Linked DNA regions of Drosophila melanogaster. The protein of the gene in region 1 interacts with the protein of each later gene in a pairwise test. Each region holds a gene or a part of one and is shown in the gene's direction. Other genes may lie near its edges.

The links. The genes of interacting proteins can lie anywhere in the genome.
Region 2: the proteins of CG9837 (region 1) and LSm7 interact in a two-hybrid assay, tested with the Drosophila melanogaster proteins (one large-scale study listed by BioGRID).
Region 3: the proteins of CG9837 (region 1) and CG15764 interact in a two-hybrid assay, tested with the Drosophila melanogaster proteins (one large-scale study listed by BioGRID).

The regions. Positions count from the first base shown.
Region 1 is NT_033777.3:8,804,717-8,814,094, reverse strand, and holds CG9837 (uncharacterized protein), read left to right. Parts: upstream 1-4,283; 5' UTR 4,284-4,312; coding exon 4,313-4,366; intron 4,367-4,427; coding exon 4,428-4,997; 3' UTR 4,998-6,416; downstream 6,417-9,378. Other genes in the region: hng2 (hinge2), read right to left, coding at 6,912-7,462, 7,516-7,729; CG9839 (uncharacterized protein), read left to right, coding at 8,597-8,903, 8,969-9,378; CCT7 (chaperonin containing TCP1 subunit 7), read right to left, coding at 8,076-8,302.
Region 2 is NT_033779.5:16,738,662-16,746,441, reverse strand, and holds LSm7 (uncharacterized protein), read left to right. Parts: upstream 1-3,341; 5' UTR 3,342-3,381; coding exon 3,382-3,396; intron 3,397-3,455; coding exon 3,456-3,773; 3' UTR 3,774-3,816; exon of another isoform or gene 3,817-3,999; 3' UTR 4,000-4,127; downstream 4,128-7,780. Other genes in the region: BuGZ (Bub3 interacting GLEBS and zinc finger domain protein), read right to left, coding at 1-215, 1,335-1,752, 2,057-2,318, 2,375-2,682, 2,878-2,912; ChLD3 (chitin and LDLR binding deacetylase 3), read right to left, coding at 4,217-4,495, 4,554-5,076, 5,138-5,870, 7,248-7,446.
Region 3 is NC_004354.4:5,865,458-5,873,919, forward strand, and holds CG15764 (uncharacterized protein), read left to right. Parts: upstream 1-3,637; 5' UTR 3,638-3,724; coding exon 3,725-4,606; 3' UTR 4,607-4,809; downstream 4,810-8,462. Other genes in the region: GAA1 (glycosylphosphatidylinositol anchor attachment 1), read right to left, coding at 5,646-5,813, 5,883-7,561, 7,622-7,799.

The DNA.
Region 1 (9,378 bases):
AACCATTTCCAACTCCGTTTCGATGTGAAAAACTATCCTGATTGTTCCTATGTTAGTTCTGAGTAGATGCAACCGCAATCGGATCGGCGAATCCATTAACAACTATGCAATAAGTGCGAATTGTCATTGTGCGTTGAGGAAATTTATATAGATACGCAACAACATGTAAGCATTTTATAGATTCTTACACAGCAGTCAGCATGATAACGATAAATGTTTAAAAGTTTTACCACATCACCACTACACAAAATAGATACATACATGTTTAAGAAGTTTATATACATAAATTGATATGAGACGACCGATAAGATCGTAGCCAGAGAGCTCAGCTAGCAGCAAAGTCAAGTTAAAACTCAAACAAAACAAACAATTGCCTAACGATCAAACAATCAATGTGTAAATCCCCTCCCAAAAAACACCCCATCCAGTCGATGAATCCCCACATCCCATTCCCATTCCCATTCCCACCTAACCCATCCAACTTCCCCAAATCCCCTAAAACGTGAACAGAGAGATACAAATATTTTCAATGGAAACCCCGAACGAGATCCAGATGACGTCCAACTACTCCGGCCGAAAAATCCACATGCCATATAGTAAATTGGATTTTTTCAGCCCAGATCCTATTTTTACTAGCTTAAAGTTTTTAGTTCTTGGATCAGAAATAAGCTTATAATCCATTAAATACGCTCCTTTTTAACTTTTTCAAACTGAAAATTGCTTACAAAGCCAAAATATTTATGAGTTAACTTTTTCGATTCGAAAAAATTGAGTCAAGGCAACTTCTCGAGTTTCGAGTGTCAACAGCGATAGGAAGGGAATTTCCATTTGGTTAGATGTTTAAAAACCCATTTACATATGATAATGATTTCCTATGAGTTCTTTGTTGAAACAGATGTTTAAAAAATGGAGCTTGGCTGATTGCAAAATTGAACAAAGTTGAAGTGAATATGGGTATGGATGGCTTATTGGATATTTCGATTTAGGAGGTAAAAGTCCGCGACTTCGATGGAACCCCCGAAAAGTGGCGATCCCAGAAGGAGGACGGTGGAGAGAGAGAGCTGTTGGATCAGTTTAGTTCACAGGTAAGTTGGCAAAACGCGAATGTGACTCACTGGCGGTACAAACTAGTATTATCTAGGTGGATTTCTCTAGAGGTTGCTCGAAGAAAAAACAGACGCCGTGCGAGTGGTGAACGTGCTTCGAATCACCTTATCTCGCACCTACCGCGCTCCACACAGAGAAACAAATATGCTGCAACTTTACACGTTTTAAATGCAGTTTTCTAAACAAAAATATATGTGTGAAATTTGTATACCCATTTAGATCAATTTTAACGTGCTTTGATAAGTCTCGAAAACGATTTGAGTTTCGGATGAAATGAATCATCACCCCAATTGTTACTCTGCATTTGATGTTTCTGTTTTTTACCTCGCCGCTTTGGGATTTCTTTATAAACGATGTCGCAAAAGAAAACTGGATTCACAGGCAACACACTATGTGGGCAATGGGCTTCGGTTTTGAATTCGGTGTCGTTGTTTACCGCTTCGCTACCCCTGAAGTAAATACGTTCATACATATGCATGTATATATGTACTTACCATTATGTTTGTACTTTATATGTACCATATCCGATCGAGTCGAATGAATACAAGACAATAACTGTACGGGTTGTCCATATTTGAGCATCGAAAGCGTTTTTCCCTCGACGAATTCATTTAATGCTGAGACCCGTAGTCTTTAATTTTTGTGTAATGCTCTCAACGATTTTCAGGCCACCCCCGAGAAATACATATACATGAACATATGTATGTATAACTGAGGACGGTGTTTACGTAGTGACGAAAAGCACGCAGAGTATATATATAGTAGTATATGAGTATATATACTCAGTATATATATGTATACTGGAATAAAAATGTAAAATATTTAGATGAAACTTTAATATTTATGGGTATCCGGTAGGTGCTCGTGCATTGTTGTTTTCAAACTCCACTAGATATGTATCTACATATGTGTGCTACCCATATTTGTTGCCCTGGATGCCTGTATGTCTGCACACAAACTTAAGGCAAATCAAAAGCGTAAACAATTTTGTTTTTATTTTGCTTTTGGTTGCTTCTCTTTTATTTTAATGGCGCTTTGCTTAAGCTAATTGCAATCTATAAATGGCGACGGCGATAGTGGATTTCAGCGAGGTTGTCGGTGAAGGGGTATATACTTCGCCCCTCCCCCCACACGACCGTTTGAATTCGCGATTGCAAACATAAAAACAAAAGCCCAGAGCTAAAGAAAAAACAGATATATGTATAAATCATGGGGAAACGTGACTAAATGGAATCGTTCATACCCCTTGATTGGCATTTAGACATCACTTCGATGTACATTGTTTATAACCTATAAATTTCTGAATGTAAAATAAATTGTTATGCTTATTAGCAAAGCGTTCTAAATATATAAGATAACGCTTTCGTCCAATATACCCTAACTGCGGGGTATCCAAAGCGAGATGTGGCTAAACAAAAAGTTGCGTGCACTGGTCTCGGACTGGGCCCGTAGATGTATCTGTATCTACGCAATTGGTATCTGTAAGATACACACACATCCGAATGTTCACGTTGTGCCGCCACACGCGCTGTGTGCCGAGCGGGATGGAGATACTGGTGGAGCGAGATGGGAGGCGTTCGTATTTACAAGTTTTGTGCGTTGGTCTCTGACGACCCCTTGGCCACCCATCTCCTACGTCCCCCTGGTCACAGTCCCCATTCCTCACTCCCCTGTATTTTTGTACAACCATATGTATGTATGTACGTATGCGTGCAAAGTACGCAAATGGCGAAGAAAAATATTAAAAAAATATAAATATAAAAATAAGTTAAACACACAAGAGAAAAATATTCACTTCAAGTGAATTCTGGTAGTGTATTTTAATGTATTTATGGGCTATAAAGATTTGATCTTTTCGAGTTTCATTTATTGCTGTTATTGATGTTTCGCTGGAACACTATGTTTTTTTTCTTATCAAAACTTTTTAAGAAAATTACCAGCTAGGAAACTCCACTTGAACTCTTGGTTCTTTCGTGCTCATAAAAATATCAACAGTTTTTTATGTGTATAAATTGTGAATATATTATGGGCAATCTCATGTGAGTGTGTGTCAACGGTTATTTTATTTTTTTTCCTTTCGGTTTTTGTTATTTTCAGGCAGTGGAATAATTTTATTCTGCTGCGCAATTTCTACTATTGATTCCCATTCGTATTCCCACATTTTATGCTTTTCTTTGGCCTGCCCCTATCGCCATGGCTTCGCTTCCATGAACTGCCCTGCTTTGATACCATTTTCTAAATTAAGGCATACTTTCGCACAAACAAACATTCGACTGTGTACATATACATATGTACATATATGTGGGGTACTTGCGGACCCTGATAGCATTCGCACCTTATCGCTATAGTGGCTCTGTGTACATTATAATTATTATTGCACGCGTAAACATCATATATAGCGATAAGAGCGGTTGTTGTTACCTCAGACGGATGATAAGCGTAGTGTAGTCAAGCAGATGTTAACCCTTAGAGAGTCGGAAATTCGGTTGAGTTCGTAACGGAAATGACTCTGTGAAATGGGTTCCCAAAAAAGGTGGATGATTCACGGACTCCAAATACCCATGCGGGCTATTAACCAGTCCATCTTTTATGTCACATGTATTAAGATTATATTTATATAGCACACATTTTTTCTTAAATTGTTTAAATTTTTATACCAAATGGGAACTATATCCATATCAGGCAATTAATATTAACTGCTTTTTGGATCACCCTCAATAATGCATACAATCTGCATACTCATTGTTTTATTACAATACAACTACCACTAATTAATATTAATAGACCACATATGATATGGCATTCGTTTAGTCAGTTTAAGATAATTCTGAATTCTGTATACCCTCGGCAGGTTCAAAGAACTTACTAGTTTCCATAGAGGTCATATTGGATACGAAGCTTTCAGCAAATTGAAATACTTGCTATTCCAAGCGCCTTGAAATGGTTTTAGGTTGGCAATCGCTCACCTCACTGTATTGACTTTTCATCTCGGCGAACACGTGACTTGCGCTTTGTCTGGCAATATGTATTCCCATAGCTAGAAAACTCATTGAATGTGAATGAATCTGTTATCGGTCAAGTGGGAACGATGTGTGATAACCCCGTGGTTTGATAAGCGTCGATGTCGAGCTTGGATTGCATGAAGTGGTCTGATCGTGAGATTTCAGCTTGGAATCAGTCAAACATTTCCCAGTTCACCGACAAGATGTGGTCCTCTAAGACTATTTTGGTTTTCCTAGCAGCATTTACTTTGGTCCAGGCATGTTTCCGATTGTGCAAGCCTGCTGGATGTTTCTTAACAAAATTTCTAATCCTTATAGGGTAGCATGCGGTTTCACTTCACCTTGGACTTTCACGTACAGCAGCCGCCGAATGCATCCGACACCATCGACAAGACCATTATTGTGGAGAACGATCGGATATCTATGGTGGACAACGAAGGAGCGACTACTAAGGCTCCGATGACCCAGTGGACAGATCAGGATCAGTATAATCAGGACGCATTGCTGAAGGTGACCGATACGCGCAGATCGGTGCAACAGCTGAATACGGAGCTCTCACCCCTGGTTGGCAGGAGCACCGATTTGGCCAGAAGGATTAAGCAGAGTATGCGATACGTCAACGAGGTGGATGCTAATCTGGACGATTTGAGCAACTTTGGGCAGCTGGTGGAGCTGCTCAAGAAATTCGTAATCCTAGTCGATAACCTAAGGGATCCAAACAATCTCGGAGGCATTCGAAGCCTGGAGTACGTACTCCTGAAGTTGGCTCTAGAGAAGTACGACCTTCTGAACAAGCGACAGGAGATCGGTGAATACTTGGAAAGGGCGGAGAGTGCCTGGCGAAGATACCAAAACACACAGGTGGTTGTTCTGGATAACTCCACCTGAGTCGGGCTCAGATGCCTAGGACCACCACATTAGGAACTTAGTTTTAGGATAAAACAGAACAAAGACCAGCATCATGGGTCGACACAATCGCTGCACCATGATCTACTAGAGCGGCTCGGCTCTTGAAAGGAATAAAAGACATCGAAGGGACTTCCTGTCTATTATTCGATTTCACTGCAATGCCCAGAATTGCTACAGGTATGCGAGGGGAGGTATTCCAGGGGTAGAATACCCTAAATTCCCTTCGGTGCCCGGTTTCGTTAAGGCTGGAAAGTACGTTACACACGCTGGGAATGCCTTTGTACACTGCAAAAAATTTAAGTTAGACCTAGAAGAGTAAGCAATCATGATAAATAAGTATTTTACCCTAAACAAAAATTCTGCTTGATTTTTATTTGTTTTATTTTTCCCTAAAAAACTGCACCTGCAATCATTTTCGTGAAGTATTGATTTATTGATATTGATGTAGATTTCCTATCAGTAGAATCTACATTTCTTGCATAGCAATTCATTTAATCTAATCAAAATAACAGTAATAAAATACTTAAAAAAGAAAATACGATAAAGTTTTCAGTGCATTTCCATTCAGCAGATGCAGGTAGTCGGAATCGAGGAACTAAGGGACCTTTTAATAGGGTAGAACAGCTGCCAGAGCCGTTGCTAATAGATGAAGTGGAGGGTAGGGTCCCGAACGCGGGCAGAAATTTCCGAAACCCGAAACAACCACTAACAAAAACCATATGCAGTTAAGTGGGAAATGGAATGGGGCGATCCCGAGGAGAACGGCATCATCAGGACGTTACGAGTACCATTTGTCGGGTGAATTGTGGGGGCGGGTATTCGGGGTAACGATATCGTCGTACCCCCCATAGATGGTACTCAGGGAATTCCCAGCAGTGTGGAACGCTTGAAAGCCGACACCGCATCCAAATCTCTGTGTTACCCCTATGGGTTCCTTAACGGTTTTCAGCGATTTCTTTTTAGGGGTGTCGTCTGGAGTGTCGACTTATAAATACGCTCGTACAATCCATAAATGTGCCTTTGTGTTGAACAAAAACCATGAAGAAATCGGTATACATAATGAAAACTCGATTGGCATAAGAGGTACAAGCTGTATGAATACAGGTTTCAACTCTTTTTTGTATCAACATCAGCCGAAACTGGTCAAACGGCTTTGGAACATGGGCCATCCGATGGCTTATGTATCGTTTTGACAGTTTATGTTTATACTAAAATTTCGCTGCAGGCGATAAATATGTATTGAGACAGCATCCGGCCCAAGAAAGTAGTGGCTAGGGGGATGAATAACAGAACATGGGATTTATGTAAAAATATCAATTACACATGTGGACAATTTGCTTGCATACATAGTTAATATACATATGAGCATATATATTCATATGAAATTCCATACAAATCCATGTTGTATGAAATTGATATTGAAACCCACGTATAAAAATATATTGCCGTCGTTAGATAATTTATGGTTTAAAACAAAATAAAATGCATATTTTTTATACATTATTTAATGTTGTTTTTAATGTTTTTTTCATTGTCTTAAATAACTCTACAACTATTGTATTATTATCAAAAATTACAAAAGTAAGCGTATAATATATACATTGCGCAAAACACAGAAGTTACTATGAGAAAACTATTTGACGCATTATTAAGAACTAAAAAAAATAATTGAATCATTGGTTGCATTAAAGTTTAACCCCTGGTTTGTGAATATTATTGTTTGTATATTAAATTACAAATTACAGTTCATTATTTAAATTTCGCGCCCTAAAGATTAGACGATTTACGATAACGATTAAATGTATTCTTATTGCTTATGTTAACTTGCTGTTAAACGAATTTTGCCCTTCTTGTAAATGCATTTGTAAATGATTTGACTTCTGTAGTGAATATTCAATTCGGCTTGAAGTTTCGTAGGATTTTCAGGACCTCGATCTGAAAGTCAAGCTTGCGATCGGCGCACATCTGCTGCATGTGAGGCTTAATGGTGTCGAAGAAGGCCTGATCAGGATCGGCGGACAAGTAGGCGGTATTTGTACTGCAGGGTGGATCTGATGGTAACTGTGGAATATATGCGATTTCCGGAGTGGCGGTGTCCTCCTTGGCGCAGCCCAGATCTCCCAGAACCGTATTTATGTTGCTTGGTATGGCTGGATTGCGGATGGCAGGCTCAATATTCGATTCTTGGTCGGAGTTTCTCTTTCGTGGAGTCTTTGCAGATCTCTGTGCGGCAGTGCTCACTCGCTTCCGTTTGGCCTGGGGCTTGGGTTGCTCCTTCAAGGATTCTACATCGTCCTCCGACTCTGCTTTCACGTTCAGCAGGAAACTCAGTTCCTTTTCGTAGATGTAGGAAGCTCTGGCCACCTCCTCGCCACTTTGACGTAGTCGGTTGACCCGTAGGTAGCTGTCCCTCGTGTTTTTCCAACGTTTGAGCAGTGTTTTAACTGGAATTGGAAGTTATGTATGATATAGACTCAAAAAGGTAGCCACCACCTACCTATTTCCTGCTTCTCCGGCTCGCTGGAGTCGTCAAAATTCGAGCAAAGCTCGTGGCCAATTTGCTGCCAGGCCTCATCTCTGAGTTCGCGGTTATGGAAGTTTGGGTGGCTTCGTTCCCATATAATAGAACGTTTGTGTACCGCGTCAATGAACTCGTACATCGAATAGCGCAAATTGCTTCCTGCCGATCGAAGAACTTTATGATTGCCCATTATTTATTGTTTATTTAAGGGTTGGATTGGATTGACAATATGTTGCTTGCGTTTAACAGCACCACGGGCAGCTGCTTAACAGCACTCCCCGCAGAGTTGCCACCTCGCCCCGCATTTAAACTAAAAACGTTCTGATGTTATGAAAATACAAATTTCAATTTTGTGTTTTATTATTAAACATATACAGATAGGTCAGTGGATTATTGTTGCTGTTGTTCTTGCTTCGAAGCGTGCGAAATGCGAAGGTATGACCGAGTAATACGTGTACGTGTTAAATTAGGAGAGAAATGCAAGTGAGTTTTGATGATTAGGGTGTAGTGTTCTCTGGATTTCTGAATGATTCTATTTACATGGGCCTGCCCATTCCGCGGCCCATTCCCATGCCACCGCCGGCCATCGGGGGTTCTCCGGCCTTGGGACTCTTTATTGTCTCATCGACGGAAAGGATCATGCAGGCTGCCTCGGCGGCCGCCGTCAGTGCATTGATCTTAATGATGGACGGCTCCCAGACGCACTGCTCATAGTTGTCCGAAATGTCTTCCTTGTTGATGTCGACGCCGTACCACTGTCCTCCTGTAAAAAGGTAAATGTATAAAATTATAATAATTATTAATTAGAGTTCAAAATTACACGACCGATTTGAATTCGCCAACGATTTTTGCAGGTAACATTTCGTTCAGGTGGCAACGCCGCTTACAGCCCGCGCAATAAACGAATTGAGAAGGTGCGAAAGAGCACAACATACAGCACATGTGACTCGAGTGAGAGAGGACGAGTGACAGTGAGGTCGAAGAAAAACACGCGTTGCTGCGGCTAAAATTTCCTCTGTATTTACATTATTTGGAAGAGAAAACGCAGCCAAACGAAATGTCCAGCTCCGGAAGAAAGCGCAAGCAGCAACTTAAGCCGCGTCAGGACGATCACCGGTCGCCGGTGAAGCGACGCAGTGTGGACATCAAGTCGGAACCCTTGGACGGCTATCCGGCGCTAGCAGACTACGATTTAAGTACGGCCGATATCAAGCCGGATCTCACTGAACTCCAATTGCAGCTGGTGGCGGAGCAGCAGGCGGCCAGCAACACCATTCGCTTGGAATTGGAACAGCAAGAGAGTGATTCCGACGAGGATGGCTACTCAGAGCTCGATTACCAAGCTGAAGATGTCTTCTGTCAGGGTAAGAAGGGTGCTCCTCCCGTCATTTCAAGACCCCACTTATAAAATTATCCTTTTTAAACCCAGACGATATGGATGACTACGATCCAGATTGGTCCAGCCAGCAGACGGGTTCCCGACTGCTCTTCAAATTTCCCATCCAGCAGAGTGGCCTGAAATTCGGACAACGCTTCCAGGGACCACAGCACTACTTCAACCAAGTGCTGGGAAATCGCTCCAAGTTCTTCAGTTCCCTGGCCCAAAGCTGCAACCTAAAGGGAGGAGAGCTCAAGTCCAATCCCACAACTGCCGAAGAAATGGAAATCTTTATGGCGCTTTCCCTGCTTATGTGTGACCTGAAGCTGGAGCACCTATCGGATTACTGGAGCACTAACATGTTTTACGGTCTCGTCGGATTCTCTGGGAAGATTCCTCTGGAACGGTATCAGCAGCTGCTGCACTGCCTTAACTTTGATGCACCGCAGCTACAAGCGGGC
Region 2 (7,780 bases), on another chromosome or scaffold:
TGCACCGCCGCCTGCTGTTGCACAGCGGCTTGCTGTTGCTGCTGAGCCGCCTGTTGCTGCTGTACTGCCTGCTGCTGTGCTGCCACAGCGTGTGCCACATGCGCGGCTTGCACCTGAGCTTGGACCACGGCCTGGGCTTGCGCTTGGGCCTGCACCTGGGCAGCATGTGCGTGTGCGTGTGCCTGCGCCTGTGCCACGGCAACTAGAGCGGCGTTCTGTAAGAAAATGTTTGGAATCGATTGAATTTATCTCACTTGCCACTGGGAGGGTGTAGTTTCGGGGTCAACCCAAAAAAAATGTATCCTGACTGAGTCAGGTCTCTATGTACCTATCGTGGTAACAAAAAAATTTGCTTAAGGGTTTCAAAAAAACGGGGCTGAACCCCAAATGAAAAAATAGAATTGCAGATTGTAAGCTGCTGAAGTAACAAAAATTGACGAACAAAAATTACTAGATCATATCAAGAATTAAAGTAATCATCTAATTTAAGATTCCCTATTTAAAAATGAGTTTTTAGCCTGCGCTTGATGTAAAAAACGCTTCCTAAGCGTGTATGGAACCGACTACATAGATTTCTAAAACATACTAAGCAAGCTGGCTTCAAACCTGCCCCTATGATCCAATTAAATCAGCCCACCCGCTATAAAGAATTTCACTATTTATCAGTGGGCATGTGAATTGCATTTCAGCTGCTTCCGCTTTACCTTTAAGATACAAAACTAGCACATGTGTTGGCATATCACATTGATGGAGATTACTTTTAGGGCCAAGACAATGCGAAACCTTGCTTTTCCCTTCTATCGAGTTCTCTATGTGTTGAGGTAAAATGTTTTAAATCAAATTAATTAAATTGAAAACCGCCGTTTCATTTGTTTTGTTGCCATTAATTTTTTTTAATTAAAAATTGTACAGACATATATCATACTATATGCTAAAAAAAGTTTTCTTTTCTTTTTAATGTTGTTTCGTATTGTGTGATTCTCGTAATCTGTTTGCTCTCGTACGCTGTGGTCGTCTAAACGTAACTTCCGCTGTCGCAATTTGCGATCTGCGCAGAGTAAATGTATAAAAGTGTCCAGTTTGGAAAAATGGAATTCTGTTAGAATGCTGAATGCATTCTCTTAAAATGCAGTCGAAATTGGGTCAGGTTTTTTTATGTGCAATTACATTTATTCTTTCATTATTTTTCTTTTTTTGGAGGAAATTGTCTTTTTTACACGTCCTCGTTTCAGTCCGTTGTGCTTGTCATTTCCTGTTAATCAGTGGAAGTCGTTTCCGTCACGGTCTGTTTATTTATATTGACTATGGTTTCTATAACTATGATAAGAACTCACTTCCTGGGCCTTCGACATGGCTGCGGAGACGACAATCGAGTTAGCCATGCCACTGCTGCTATTGCTACCCGTGGGCGAGATCCCGGCCAGCGACGGGGGCGGCGGAGTGGTGGGAATCGACGTAGAGGGGCCACCATTGTTGCTGGGACTCTTGCGACTTTGTGGATTCGCCAGTGAAGCCAAAGCGGCCGCCAACCGTGCTTGTATTTTCGGTTGGCGCGCGCGCAATTCTTCCAGACTCAGGTCCTCCTGTGGATGCATAATCTTTGTGGTCACAGCAGCAGCGGAAGTTCCGCTTGCCGCCGGTGGAGCTGGAGGTCGCTGCTGGTGTTGCTGAGCATCTGGCGGACCACTTGGTGGTGCGCTGGATGCGCCACCAGCATGATTGGTGGTAGGCGGAGCACTTATGGTAGCATTACTTTAGCAAAAAGAAGAAATAATTGATTTACGTTAGTTAAAAACAAATTCTTAGGATTAAGCCTAATAATAAGTCATTTGACTTGCTTCACAACTATGTTTAATAGGGGAAAACCATTAAAAATGTGCCAATGTGAACAATTATTTGGAGTAGAAAGTATTTCACCTAAAATACCCCCAAAACTGAATTTACATACGAATCGTTTAAAAAAAAAAGATTATTAACAGGGCTCTACGTCTAACTGCTAGCTTTAGAAAAAAAAATTGGAAGGATTCTTATATGGTCTTCCCCTAACGATGCTAACCTGTACGCTGGAAATGTTGGCTTTTGTTGAGCCATGGCGGCGGCGTGGTGATGATGGGCCGCCGCCGCAGCAGCTGCCGCCGATGTTGTGGCCATGGCGGCTGGAAACAAAGGACGCGGAGGCATCATGTGCGGCATCATGGGCACTGGATACGGAGGCAGTGGCGGCATGTGCTGCATCATGCCCATGCCGTACTGCCCCAGCATGTGCGGTGGCATCATGTTCGGGGGCATCATCATAGGCGGCGGTACACTCATGGCATCTGCAATGAATGTTGTATAGCGATTTTGTATACAATACAGTTTGCTGATCACTTACATTCTACTTTCTTTTTGGCCACCGGTTCATCATCGTCCGAATCAGACTTGCCACCATTCTTCTGACGTTCGTGATCCCTGAGATCCTCGGCGGGAATGCCGTCCATGCCAAAGATTTCGACTTCAATATTTGAGCGATTGGGCAGCGAGTTGGGGACCTTGTCCACCGTTTCCTTGTGCACCTGCATGCAGTGTATGGATAGTCCGGGTCCGGTGTACAACTTCTTGTGGCAGATGTGGCATTTGAAGTGCTTGGCCTTCTGGTGCTGCACAAGGATCTTTTCGTCATCGAACTCACGGTTGCAGTACCTAGTTTTTTGCGTTAAGAGTTAAGGAAAATTCACGGGGATGCGGCGTTGTAGCCAGTATGCATATACATGTGTGTGTGTATCTACCCCCAACCCAATACCATTATATAAATGTGTGTGTATGTGCAGATACAGCGAGCGGCACATGCAGTGAAAAAATATTTATATCTTTGTTTTGCGAAAAGGATACCAGCACCAGGGTTTGGAGGCCTTCTTCTTCTTGCGTCCCATGATCCTAAGGTGGCTTTAAAACACTTAAATGTACAAAATCGATCCGGTAATTGGTAGAAGATAACAATCTGTTGTACTAAAAATTGCTCTGTCGTGGAAAACAAAATGGAGAGCCAGTCAGAGTGACCAGCATATCGATACAAATAAATGAATCTTATCGATATCTTAAACCAATATAATAATTATTATACAAATAAATTGATATGTTCGCCTCAATAGCAAAAGGTAAGAAAATAATTTCACAATGATGACAGTAGAAATAAGAGAACTTTGTTGTCATATTTTTCAAATAACATTAATTCTTACATATGTTTATTCCATTATTATCGATTATGTACCTCAAAAAGCGCGGCCCATAAGATTACTTCACCAGCGCCATCTGCTGGCTAGTAGCGCCTTATTTGGTGTATTTCTAAAAAAATATGCTTTGGTCACTCTTTACCAGCCGGCATTTACCAAAAACAGAATAATGGCAGATAAAAAGGTAAATTAAATAGAATAACTACATTGTGGTGCTTAATCATCAAAATCGTGACTTGTCAGGTGGGTGGCAACAATGACGGTAAGGAGAAGCGCCGCAAGGAGTCCATTCTGGACCTCTCCAAGTACTTGGAGAAACAGATCCGCGTGAAATTCGCGGGCGGCCGCGAGGCATCCGGAATCCTCAAGGGCTACGATGCGCTGCTCAATCTGGTGCTGGACAACACGGTGGAGTATCTGCGCGACTCGGATGAGCCCTACAAACTGACCGAGGAGCAGACCCGCAGCCTGGGACTGGTCGTCTGTCGCGGCACAGCCCTCGTCCTCATTTGTCCGCAAGACGGAGTCGAGAGCATCGCCAATCCGTTTATAACGCAATAGTCCAAGGTTTTGTGGCTGGGATGCGTTCCAGAATGTAGACTAAGTACAAAGCTCTTTTGGAAATCGGTTTAAATATATTTAGCGGAGACATACATACGTATAAATTAGTTCTTAAAATCTAATCAGGCCGCAAAGTACCACGTTTATGAGCCCGCGAAATTGTTTAAGCTTCTCCATAAAATTCAGAGTGTTCCGATTTTAAATTAATGCACTTTATCCTCTTCAGGTATGTTACGAAGTTATCTACGGGTTTGCTTACGGTCAGATTTTGAAAGCTGAATCATCTAAATATGCGTAATCCAATTTATAAATATTAATTTTTCTAAACAATTAAAACCTAAAATTGTATCAATCTTATCCAATTACTTATGGAACGCTCCAAACATTATGGATATATCAAAGCGCCTTGCGCAGAGCCCTATAGTGTCAAGCGGGCTATCACCTTAGTCCAAGCCGAACTCGTTGCGAATCCAGGGATACTGGGCAGGACACTCCATGCAAGTGTAGAAGAATCGATCCTCTTGCAGCACCCGACTACGCACCTTGCACACATTCGGCGTGTTGCAGACCTGCTCGTGGGGATCCAAGTCCTTCGGTTGGCAGTGCCAGGACTCGAATTGGTGCAGCTGGTTGCTGGGCGTGGGATGGCGCATCCACTGAATCGCCTGCTGGTTAGTCACGAAGAACACATCCGGCAGCTTTTGCAGATCGTCGAGGAATTTCTAAATGATCAGGAAGGAATGAAGATCTAGTATTATGGGTAACAATTCGAATATTCACCAGAAATGCATTCAGATAGTCGACTTTCTTGAACCAAGTCGAATGGAAATACAGGCCAAATGGTGCCCTATTGCTGAGGTAGTGCCTCTTGAAGTTGTGCGTGAGCATTCTGTACACATCCTCGCCGCTCAAATGCGGCGGACACGTGTCCACCATGCCGCACATATACTCGCCCACTTCCAGTTGGTTCATAACCAGCTCCCAAATGCCCGGATAACTCCTAGACGGGCAATTCTGATTTACGCCCGTGCAGCTGTGCGGCATCTTGTAGTCCAAGGTGTAGGGCCACAGAGGAGGATTCGAATGCGGCGCAACCATGGATGAATCGTACACGAAGCCAAACTCCTTCATCATGAGAAACTGTCGATTCCAGCCGACGCGCAGAAAGGGTACTCTCATGCCACGAATCTCCTCCATTCGTACCGCTGCGAACTTATTGATTATATTCGCCTGGCCAACCATCTCATCGAACCAATCCTCAATTGTGGCATTCTTGGACCACCACATCTCTGGGCCACGATGCCTTTAATCAATAAAAGTGAAATTTCAATTTTAAATAATTTACAGGCTGATCAACAACTTACGTTACTGAGTGCACTGCGATCTCGTGACCATCGTTCCAAAGCTTCTGCACATACTGATAGTTGGTAAACGGATGTGAAACGTAGAATGTGCCCTTAATGGGACACCCGTTGGGGTTTCGCCTGTGCTGTGTGAACAAAACCTTGGAGAACAGCTCCCAGTTATCGTGATTGATGGCATCGTCGAAGGTCAACAGTATCATCTGCGGAACACTCTGTGCCGGAAGACTGCCGGGTATCTGGGTGCCATCCTTCGAGCAGAAGCACTGCGGCAAATGGCACTTTCGCGGATCACAGGCACCAGCCGCATTCGGATCGTGCTCCACATCGCACCAGCCTTCGTCGGAGCCGTCGGGACAGTCTACCGAACCATCGCAGAAGTACTCCTGCGGCAGGCAGGTACCATCGGCGCAGCCCAACTGGTATTCATCCGCACAGTCGGCCATCTCCAGTAGTGGTTTTGGAGCCGGCGTCTCCGCGCTGACATCGCAATTGTCCACATTCGCCTTGAAGTCGCAGATCTGACGCACCACATCGAAGAGCAATCCCTCGGAGCACTTGAATTCGAACACCTCACCGTCGAGGCAGAGGAAATACTTGGCGCACTCGCTGTTCGTCCAGATCTTGTGGACCGGCCTGTTGGGGTTGCGGTAGAAGCGTGCATCTTGCATGCAACTGGCTGCGCCGGAGGTCGAGCGACGATGCCGAGTTTGGTTGCCGACTATTCCATCATTGTCTGCAAAGCAGGCACACAAAAAAAGAAACTGGGTGTGAGATAGCCGTGTGTAATTAACAAGGAGACTGATTACTGATTAATGCATTGACCCAAAAACGAAACCGCTCACGTCAGCCCAAAATTAGCCGCTTGCAGAAATATTTTTGCTTTTTTCCAGCTGGATACCAATCACGCACTGAAATGGGTGGTGCGCATAGTTGCCAATAGTAGTCAACTATTACGGAGCAAGACGACAAAAAACAAAAAAAAAACCCACGTCGCTACTTCAATTGAAACGAAAAGTTGGACAAACTTCAAGGAAATATATGTATATATGAATGTGTGTAGGCCACTTGCTCGCTTAGAAGTGCCTGAATTCCGAGGACCGTTGGACTTCGATGACCTTTTTGATTGGCTCGAGGCCTCAATTAACATTATATTAACCATAATGTGATCTTAGATGATCTTCCGCCGTGATTTAAACGTGATGGAAACAATAGTAAGACAACTAGTCACGAAGTACAGCTGGCACTAAACTAGCACTCAAAATTATGTTGACTTGCCATTTAAAAATATTTTTCCAATTTATATGCACTGGCAAACTTGGAAATGATTATGAATATTGAAAATATTGGATAAATATTGCTAGAATTGAGTGTAAACTATGGAGCACCTTTGAGATAAGTATAGTAAATTGTTGAACTTTTTCAAATCACTTGTGTAATAGGTCTTTCTGAAACTAACGCCAGCTCCACCCACTTGGAAATGCGTCCCAGCCATGTGCCACATTGCGGCGGACGGGTTGAAATGCGTTTGCATCATGGATCGGCAGCAATGGCCCGTAGCCGTGCCGCACCATATCGTAACTCAGGCGGTTGGGCAAGCGACGCGTGTTGGCCAAATGCAAGATGCGATCTCAAGATTGGAGATATGTGCATACATATGTGTGACTATAGTAGATAGACCGACTGACTGACAGTCCGTGTGTGTATATCTCCATCTCCATCTCGATCTCCATCTGAATCTCAATCTGCAGCTCTAGCTGAATGTCTAGCTGGGGCAGCTGGGCATTTGCAGCATTTAGAAAGTAAATTTATCATCTCCGCCGGCCAGAGAGGCCAAGGCAGCGGGTCAGGAAAATTTCAGCAACTGTCATGGGGTTCAATGCACACGCTCTTTTTAGTTTTTTTTTTTTTTTGTTTTGTTTTTTGGGGACGGGTGCGGGCATGTGGACAACCCGACTTGGCCCCACTTGGCTGGTCGTTTCGTGTTATATAACTCCTTCGATTCGATCGACAACTTTCACACCCAATGTGCGCATGCGCGCATGAGCATGCCAAAAACTAAATAAATTCAGTCGTACCCAATCGAAAAGCGAACAAAAGGGGAGAAAATTACCAATGACCAGGGCGTCCAGCGACGACGACATAATCATAAGCGCCACCATCATCCAGATGCACAAACTGGGTAAGCGGTGGGCGTTGGGAATTCGCGCTGTTGGTTGTGGCTTCGAGCGTCGCTGGGCGGAAGCGACGACCTTGACTGTGAAACCCGTTTGGCCATTTGCATTATAGGCATTTTCCCCCGGGCAGAGCATTTTTCAGCCTGCTTTCCACTTTGCCACTCGCGTTTGTGTTTGGCTGCTTGCTTTGAGCGCTTTAATCTTGCGCGCGATCGGAAAACCGAAGGAAAAACCGCCAGTGAAAATGGTTCCGCACCGAGCCAAAGTCGAGTTGTGACTAAAGTCGTGCGAGATGCAGCCAAGGCATTATATATATTTGGGCATTTCTCTGACTTGCGGATAGCGGAGAGAAAGCTCCGCGCAGTGGGTGTCTCGCTTATGTTTTTGGGGAGCGCAGAGCGCGCTGAGTTATTCATAATTTCCAAACTATTACACGGCTTTTTTGGAAATTAAGTAGTTTGCTTGCTTA
Region 3 (8,462 bases), on another chromosome or scaffold:
ACATGTTCGTCTTTTTTTTTCATTTTTTTTGTTTTTTATTATTTTCTTGTCTTTAGCTTTCATACGCTCACAAAAAGTATTTGACTATAGCTAAGTAAAATGTATATATGTATATATCCGGAATACCTGCCAAAATCCATTGAATTACTTCCTTTTTTAGGAGTCATTACAATATTTGATTGCTTAAGAATTCGCGCGACTTCCCTGCACTTGCATTAGCATTCTTTTGGTAAGGGTATTTGGGTCGGCTTTTTGCAACATTTAGTTTTTTGTTGCTTGTTTTTCATTTCACTTCTATCATGTTTCAGTTTTCTTTTTGTACGTACTTAAGCCAGTGACGGAGGCACGTCATAACTTGGCCGTAAAACAGCTGACAACTTGGAGCAGAGAAGAGGGATATGTTATGGCACCTCACCGCCAACACTAGCCCTCTCTCTCTTTCTGGGCCCCGCCCAACCGTCTACCGTTCTGCGCCAGCCAGTTGTTTTAGTGGCTTAATGTGCTAAACAACTGCTCGACATGGGGACAAAGGCAAAGGAATTGAATGCCGGCTGAATTTAGGGACTAAGAAAAGACACTCATCCGTGCTGTACATCCCTCTCTTTCGCTTCCTGTCTCACCCTCTCTTTCACTTCGCTAATGGCGGTGTGTGTGTGTGTGTGTGTGTGCTGCCCGCAAATAAAAAACGTCATGCGGGTAGCTGTTGCTCTATCTACTATCTTCATGCCACCCAATGCAGGCCGCACAAACACACACATAGAAGTACAGTCATAATCCTTTTGAAGCAACCCAGTCGATCAACTTTTTGGTTTGCTAGTTCTGTAGATAACACGACATAGTATAAAAGTAGCCTATGCAAACGAAACGCAAATTCTGCAGGACTATGAACATTTAACTGAATGATGGCATACTTACGCAGTATGCACTGTAAATCCCATTTGAAGTATCTGGCCCTTTTCGCTCAATTTGGCAAATTCCCTCATGCACTCCATTCATTTCTAGTTTGCCTACTCGAGTCTCATTTCGTTTGTCATTCATCCAACGGCCGCCGACTTGCTCAGCTTTCTCCACTTTCCCCAATTTTCTCGCTCTCTTTGTGGGACAAGGCTTTGTTTTCCCCCTTTTCGAAGGACCCATCGTAGGCTCTGATTGTTTGTAAATAAAATCGCAAGTTTTATTGTCGCTGGGCAAACTTTGATTAAGAGCAGCATCAAAGTATTGTAAAAGTCTAAGTAGAAGCGGGGCGAAATTAAATTTTCAAGACAGCCTGGAATACTGGAATAAAAAATCCCCAATCCCCCAACTACTGGTAGTTGAAAACTTTGGAGCGCCACGGAAATCTGCACACACAAAACATATCAGTGGGTTGGAAAGTAGAAAAACAAATACCGAATTCGACAAACTTTACAAATTGAGAGAAATTGGCAGTTTTGACGGCATTTTTATTCGCATGCAATATTATTTCGTTATTTGTTCACTTCTTTCGGTTTGCACTCGCAAAAATCTAGAGATCATTTGTTTCAATCAAAATAGTTGCTCTACGAATTTTGTTTTACAATGCCAATGAAAGCAAATAATCCCATTTTGTACCAAAAATCATTTTCCAATTTTACGCCTAGAAAATAACACAATTATTCTCGTAACAATTGACAGAATCATTCAAATATGGATTGTTATACCTCGTTAAGTTTGTATTTAAATTCCCAATCGAACTGTGTCCAAAAATGGGAATTCTATTTTTTAGCCATTTTTTGTAAATTTTGATGATGTTACCCCTTCCGAAAATGCGAAAAATGACTCAAAAATTATTTTTTCTAAATTGGTCCAAAAGTGATACAGATGGTTAGCCTTCGTTATTAGCTGCTCAAAACAGTTATTTCTTTGGTTTTATGATCATTTTTAGTCAAGTTATGATGAAAACGCTCATCTAAAGTTGTTTAATTTTTGCCAAAATCATTTTTTTCGATTTTCCGTCATAAAATAGTCAGTTTTTTGGCCACAACTTTAAAAATAATTGTCTGAATACGGAATGTCATATCACGTTGAGTTCGTATTTAAATTCCCAATCGAACTGTGTCCAAAAATGGGAATTCCATTTTTTAGCCATTTTTTGTAAATTTTGATGATGTTACCCCTTACCGAAAATGCGAAAATTGGTCCAAAAATTAATTTTCCTAAATCGGTCAAAAAGTGATAGGGATGGTTAGCCTTCGTTATTAGCTGCTCAAAACAGTTATTCTTTTTGCTTTCTGATCACTTTTAGTCAAGTTATGATAACAATGCTCATCTAAAGTTGTTTAATTTTTGCAAAATAATTTTTTTCCATTTTCCGTCTAAGATCTCAGTGTATGTCTATAGTCTTTTGGATGCTTTTTTCTCGTACCTGTCTTTCTATGCGTTTGTTTTCCATTTCACCTGCCCAGTTTTTCGTACTCATCGTTGGCATTCCAAAAAAATGGAGTGCCACGTGACTCCTCGTTGTGGTGGTTTAGGGGGGGGGGGGGGAGGACTATATAGGTCGGGCGGATTGACGCCGCTTGTGCATTGTTTCGAGGGGGCGGACAAAGCACACAAATAACTGTCAAAGTTTCAATTCTTTTCGAAAGTAAAGCCCGGGTAAAAAAAAAAAAAAAAACAAGAAACCGAATCCGAATCCAAAAGCAAACAAAGGCAGAACAATGGTCGAGCAAATTGAAAGCTCTCGATTGGTATTCCTCTATTCCGGACTTGTTTTCCCACTTTTCACTTTTCATTAAAACAGAAGCAGCACGGAAGCGTTGAAAAAAAATCCGCAAAAAACAGCGAAACTAAAATTGAAGTCGCTCTACAAATGGATAAACTCAGTTTGGCAATGGATTTTATTTACAGATCTCATTCAAGGTTCAATTTATGAAACGATTAATAGTTAAAGCAATAAATTTTTTAAAGGGCCGTTCAAGTAGGTTCCATTATCCTTACATCCGCGATGAATGCATGGCTGTTCTGTCCAACCGACACGATAATGCACATACTCATACATATGTACATATATGTTGCACATCAATCCCCCTTTCGCCGACATGCAAAGTGCAACACCTCTCGTTCTTCGAACAATTTTAATTATTTCCACACGCAGCAGCGACGCACTCAGTAAGTCCATGGGCGGCAGAGGGAACCGGCAAAAGAGTGGTCGTTGGAGTGGGATGGTGGGGGGTGGGGGGGCGAACCCGACCGCAGGGAGTGTGTTGTTGGCTTTAACGGGGAATTAAGTCGGGCAACAGGAAGTCAGCGAGCACAATAATTAAGATGAGCGCTCGAGGGGCAATTATGTGACATCAACTTGCCAATTTTAAAACACCCCCGCCCCCCCGCAATCACGAACTCTCCGCATCCCTTTATCCTTCAGTCGAAGGATAATGCGAACGTTTTGGCCAACAGTGGGCTGTGTATAAAGATTTCTAACCATATATAAATATTCTTCGAACTGCATACTTTGCGACACATTCATACACTCAGAGAAAAAAACCTTTGTAAACTTGTAATCTTGGAGTTGGAGTTTTCCGAAACCAGTAGGCCCGTCTCCAACTGGCAACACTTCATTTCACCTAATTTGACAGGGACACACACAACACGTTTGCTCTACGGTTCGGTCGGTAGTACCAAATCTTATATACACTACATCTTCACAGTATAGCCATATATATATATTAATATTATCAAAATTTTCCACTAAACCTGCTTTGGAATGAGCACAGAACATCTGAATGACGCGGCGGAGTCCGTGAGTGCCCGGAGTTTGGCTTTGGATCGCGCTATCGTCAATTTGGTGCACCAGGCCCGTCGCCTCCATTTGAACAGCGTGAATGGCTATACATCTCTGGAGGCATCTCTGGAGAAGGCAGTGCCAGAGTTGCTCACGACTAGGAGTGATACCGCACACCCCACCACCACAGCGACCAGCTCGGCAAGGTCTTTCCCGAAGCGTAGGCCCAGTAGCCTAGCACCACGACCTGCGCCCAAGGCTTTCAAAATGCGCAAGACCGATACGCATCTGAGGACCCCACGTGTCGTCCAGTGTAAGACGGCCCGTATCCCGGTGACGCCACCACCACCGCCACCCTCGCCGCGTTGCCCAAAACCTGGGGAACTTAGTTCGGCCATGGACATGGCCGATCTGCTTCGGATCGAGATCGCCGAGACGGATGCACTGTTGGATCAAATGCTATTCGATGCCAAGGCACTCGAACGCCAGGTGGCGATCCAGTGTCAGTTGCAGAGCGATGCGGAAATGATCCGCAGCCTGGAGATGGAGTACAGTGGGCGATCCATGAGATATCTGATAGAGGCCATTCAGTCGGACTGCGAGAGCCAGGATGTCCAGGATCTCTGGAGCCGATGTCAACGCTCTTTGGAACGCCACGCGGAGCGACAGACGGAGCTGGAGTCCAAAGAGGGTCTGTATCTGGATCGGAATCCAGGCAAGGGCACCGGCAAGGGCACCCAAACCGATATGGCTGACTCTCAGGACGAGATGCTACCTATCTCGTCCAATTCGATTTGCCAATGGTTGCGAAGGGCGATGGGTTCTTTAAGCCAAGAGGATCAGGTGCAGGAGATGGCCATCTAGCGCAGGCCAGCCTTGAATAGTATTTGAATAAAGATACACAACTCTAAAATCACTTGTGTGCTCTGCTGTTTTAACGATGGCCCATAGAAATATTGAAAAGCTGCGATTAGACTAGAACTGCGAGGATTAATTAACTACTACTTGAAAAAGTATATATATTTGTTAACTGATTTATACAGTGATACAGCTCAGTGATTTGACCGAACTCATCTTACAATCTATCTATCCATTTAATAAAAAGATATTCGAAAATTTCTCATTTCTACATTTCGAGTGAAAGTACCACTGTGCCGCCGCAACTTTGTGTCTGCCTTTGAATGGTTGTGTGAGGAAAGTTTTCTTGTTAAGTTGCAGATTGAATGGCGCCGGTAAACACGGTGCGGCAAGTGCAGGGCTCCCAGCTTCGAGGACACCATGCATCCATGCCTCTGATTGAGCCAAATCCTGGCTCATAACTAATTGCCAGCAGCGACGACGATGGCGCTGGCAGCGGTGCAAAGTTTAAATTAAGTTGCGTGTCATAGTCGAAAAGTTTTCCACTTATTCAAAGAGGCACGTGCTCCACTGAGCACTACTCCACGGAGAAACTCCTGTCCTCCACTGGCCAATAACGCCAGCGAAGACGGAGGATTGACAAAAGAAATAATAACCAACGGATGGGAAATATATGCATTACTGCTTTACGTGCAAACAAAGTTGCAAATATAATGGAAAATCCATAAATCACAAGAAGCTACTGATAAAGTTAACCACTTAAGTAATTTAAAATGATAAGTTAACTGGGAATCAACATCGAAAATGCCGTGGTATATTTAATATTTTTTGGATTACATTTACACTTAGTTATTCCAACTAATAAATAGGCTTCTTTTATTTAGACATTTAATCAAATGCATAACATTTAAATGGAATTTTCTCTGCATGTGCAATCTCTTACCGCCATCACACACAGTTTTGTTGGGTTTATCACACTTCATCTTAGGATCATTTCCAGTTGATATATGTAGCCAGTGAATGGCAATCCGTGCTGTTCGTCTCCTCAATTCGTTTTCACCTTTGACTGCGGCTGCGGCGACGTTGATGGCGACTCATCGAAGTCCAGGTAATCTGCGTAGTCGCGTCGCTTGGACAGCGACAAGGTCCAGCAGATGATCCACAGCGGCAGGAAAATCGTGCAGATGACAAAGTACAGCCAGTTGCCATAAATCTGCAATAGGAAAGTATTTTAGTTTATTATCTATGTATGTTAGTAGTGGCAACTGAAATCTTAACTTACCACGGAATCGATAAGTCCATAAGCCGAGGCATCCATGGCCGCGGTGGCCGCCCTCAGCATGATCTTCTGCACCGGCAGCTCCGGGAACTGGTAGAATGTCATGGCCAGCACGATCACATAAACGACCATCATGGGATTCATGACCAGCGTGGCCAAGCGGATCGTGTTCCTCAGCGTGCTGCGCGAGTTCTCCTCCTTGGTCTCCAGCGCGATGACCAGCGGTACAGTCAGCACGGCCGCAAATAAGCCCAGGGCAAAGTTGAGGAGCCCGATGACTATTAAAGCGCAGCCATAGATTAGCAGAAAGGCCACATGCAGCAGCTCCAATCCTCCGGGCGGCAAAACCACCACAAAGGGCAGAACGAAACCGATCAGAGAAAGAAAACTCAGTACTGAGGTGGTCAGTGGTGCGGCGCCCATAGGAATCTCTAGGAAATATTGCTGCAGGGGCAGCACGTTGCACAGGAAACCAATCAACAGGGTGGCAGTAAGGTAAATCAATACCGAACCATACGGCAGCTCGAACTTATCCGGCTCTAGGTTCTCCTCCAGTTCCGCCTCCTGTTCGTGCTCCCTAAGCCAGCCAGCGGCCTTTTCCAGCTCAGCGTTGGTCGCCGGGAGCGTGGACCACGTTAGATAGGCCTTAAGGAAGGCACAAGCTACCAGAGCCACCAAAGCGGGCATATAATCCCCAATGGAGATGTAGCGATCGTTGCTTACGATCACATAGAAGAAAAAGCTTTGATGGAAGCGCTCCAGAAGGTTGTTCAGACTCCTGGCTATTCCCTCGATGGCCTTCAGCAAAGGCACCGCTGCCGATCCTGGGCTGCCCTTCAGTGTGGCATGGGTGGCCCTTCGATTGGCAGCTATGGTCAAAGCATCGATCCGATAACGGTGGAACAGCCCATGATTGCCAGTGGGTACGCCCGACGACTGGCTGGCCAGCATGGTCAGCATCTGGCGGAAGTTCTGCTCGAAGTGCGACTGGCTGTGACGACGCTTCTTGCGTGGCGCTTGTTTATAGCCAGAGGCGATGCCCTCGCGGGCCATAATTCTCTGCACCAGATTGAACATATCCAGATTGGGCAGCTTGCCGTTCAAGCCCTCTATTCGCACATCCACATGGTCAATCTCCAGATCCTGAACTTCAATATTCAGAGCCGCTTGCAGCGAACCAGCGCGAGCGGGCAAATTGCCAGGACGCAGGTACGCCTTGCTCAAGTCCAGTTCCCGGTCGCCATCGTGATAAGCCTCCAGCCAGGCCTGCATGCCCAGCTGCTCCTGTTCGGTGATCAGGAAGATCAGATCCTTCGCCCAGTAGTTCTTGCGCCGGGCAAAATCGGCGAAGGCCAGCAGAAGCGGCACGCTGGCGGAAATGTCCGTGTGCACGGAACTGGCAGCGCGATATGGAGCCGCAAAAACGATGCCCTCCGTGGAGGCAATTCTTGGGGCCCTCAATATGCCGTAGATATTCTTGCCGTGATACTCTTTACCGCCGCCAAATGGGTAGCGCAACGTGTAGTTGTGCGTGTGCGTCTCCAGGCCGAACTCGTTCATCTTGGCCGCAATCCAGGCGTGCGGCGTGGTGGACAGATGATCCTTTCGCTCCCGCTGCAGCTCCTCCAGCAACTGGATGGCCAGACGATTCGCATCGATGCGGATCTCCGGATAGACCAAGCCTACAATAGATCACACCAATTGTTAGCGGCTCTCTTTTGGTGACGCTGCACGTAACTCACCTGGCGAAAGAGCATTCTCGGAGAGATATGTCCCGTGGTTGAACTCCGGCAGCGCCAAACAGAAGAACCAGGCCACACCCGCCACATAAAGGGCGTAGCACACCTTGCGAACATGACGCGCCAGTCCGTCCACCAGCTTGCTTTGCGTCGATATCGACGGATCGGACAGCAGGCCCATTTTGGCTGCCCTATATCCTGTATATATCCCGAATCACAACAACACGAATCGGACAAGCCGGCGGAATTGTATCGATGCGGGCGTTATCGATAACCTCGATAACCGATTGCTTATGACGCTAGGGAGGAGAGGGTTAGCAATGGATTTTAATGCTCGAAATTTTAAACTTGTTTTTCCAATGTTTTCGATATTTCTATATATATTTTTTATTATATCAAAATATACATATTAAGCTAACCTACAAGAAATGTGTTGCAAAAATAATGAAAAGAATAACCTGTCGTTGTAAATATTTATTTAATTTTTCCTCTTTTTGACGTTAATGTAACGACGCATTTATTTGAGAAAGTACATCATGTTCTCAGATTGGAGTTTTTCTTTTTTACAGTTTAAATCATTTATTATTGTTCATTAGTCAGTAGGAATCGTTCAGTTCTTTCTGAACTTAACCTAATGTGTAGCCTAAAAGATATTATGGATTCTCTTCCTTAATTATAGTGTATAAAAATGTACCGTGGAGAGATTATGCTATCTTACGTGTAAGGAGTTCATAGAGATGTATTCTCTTCAGGCGTCGGCATATCGGCTGCTGTGGAAGTTTATTTGGTTTTTAACAAGTCCAGAGTTTTTCGAGATAAAGTAGTTAAAGATATATATTTCAAG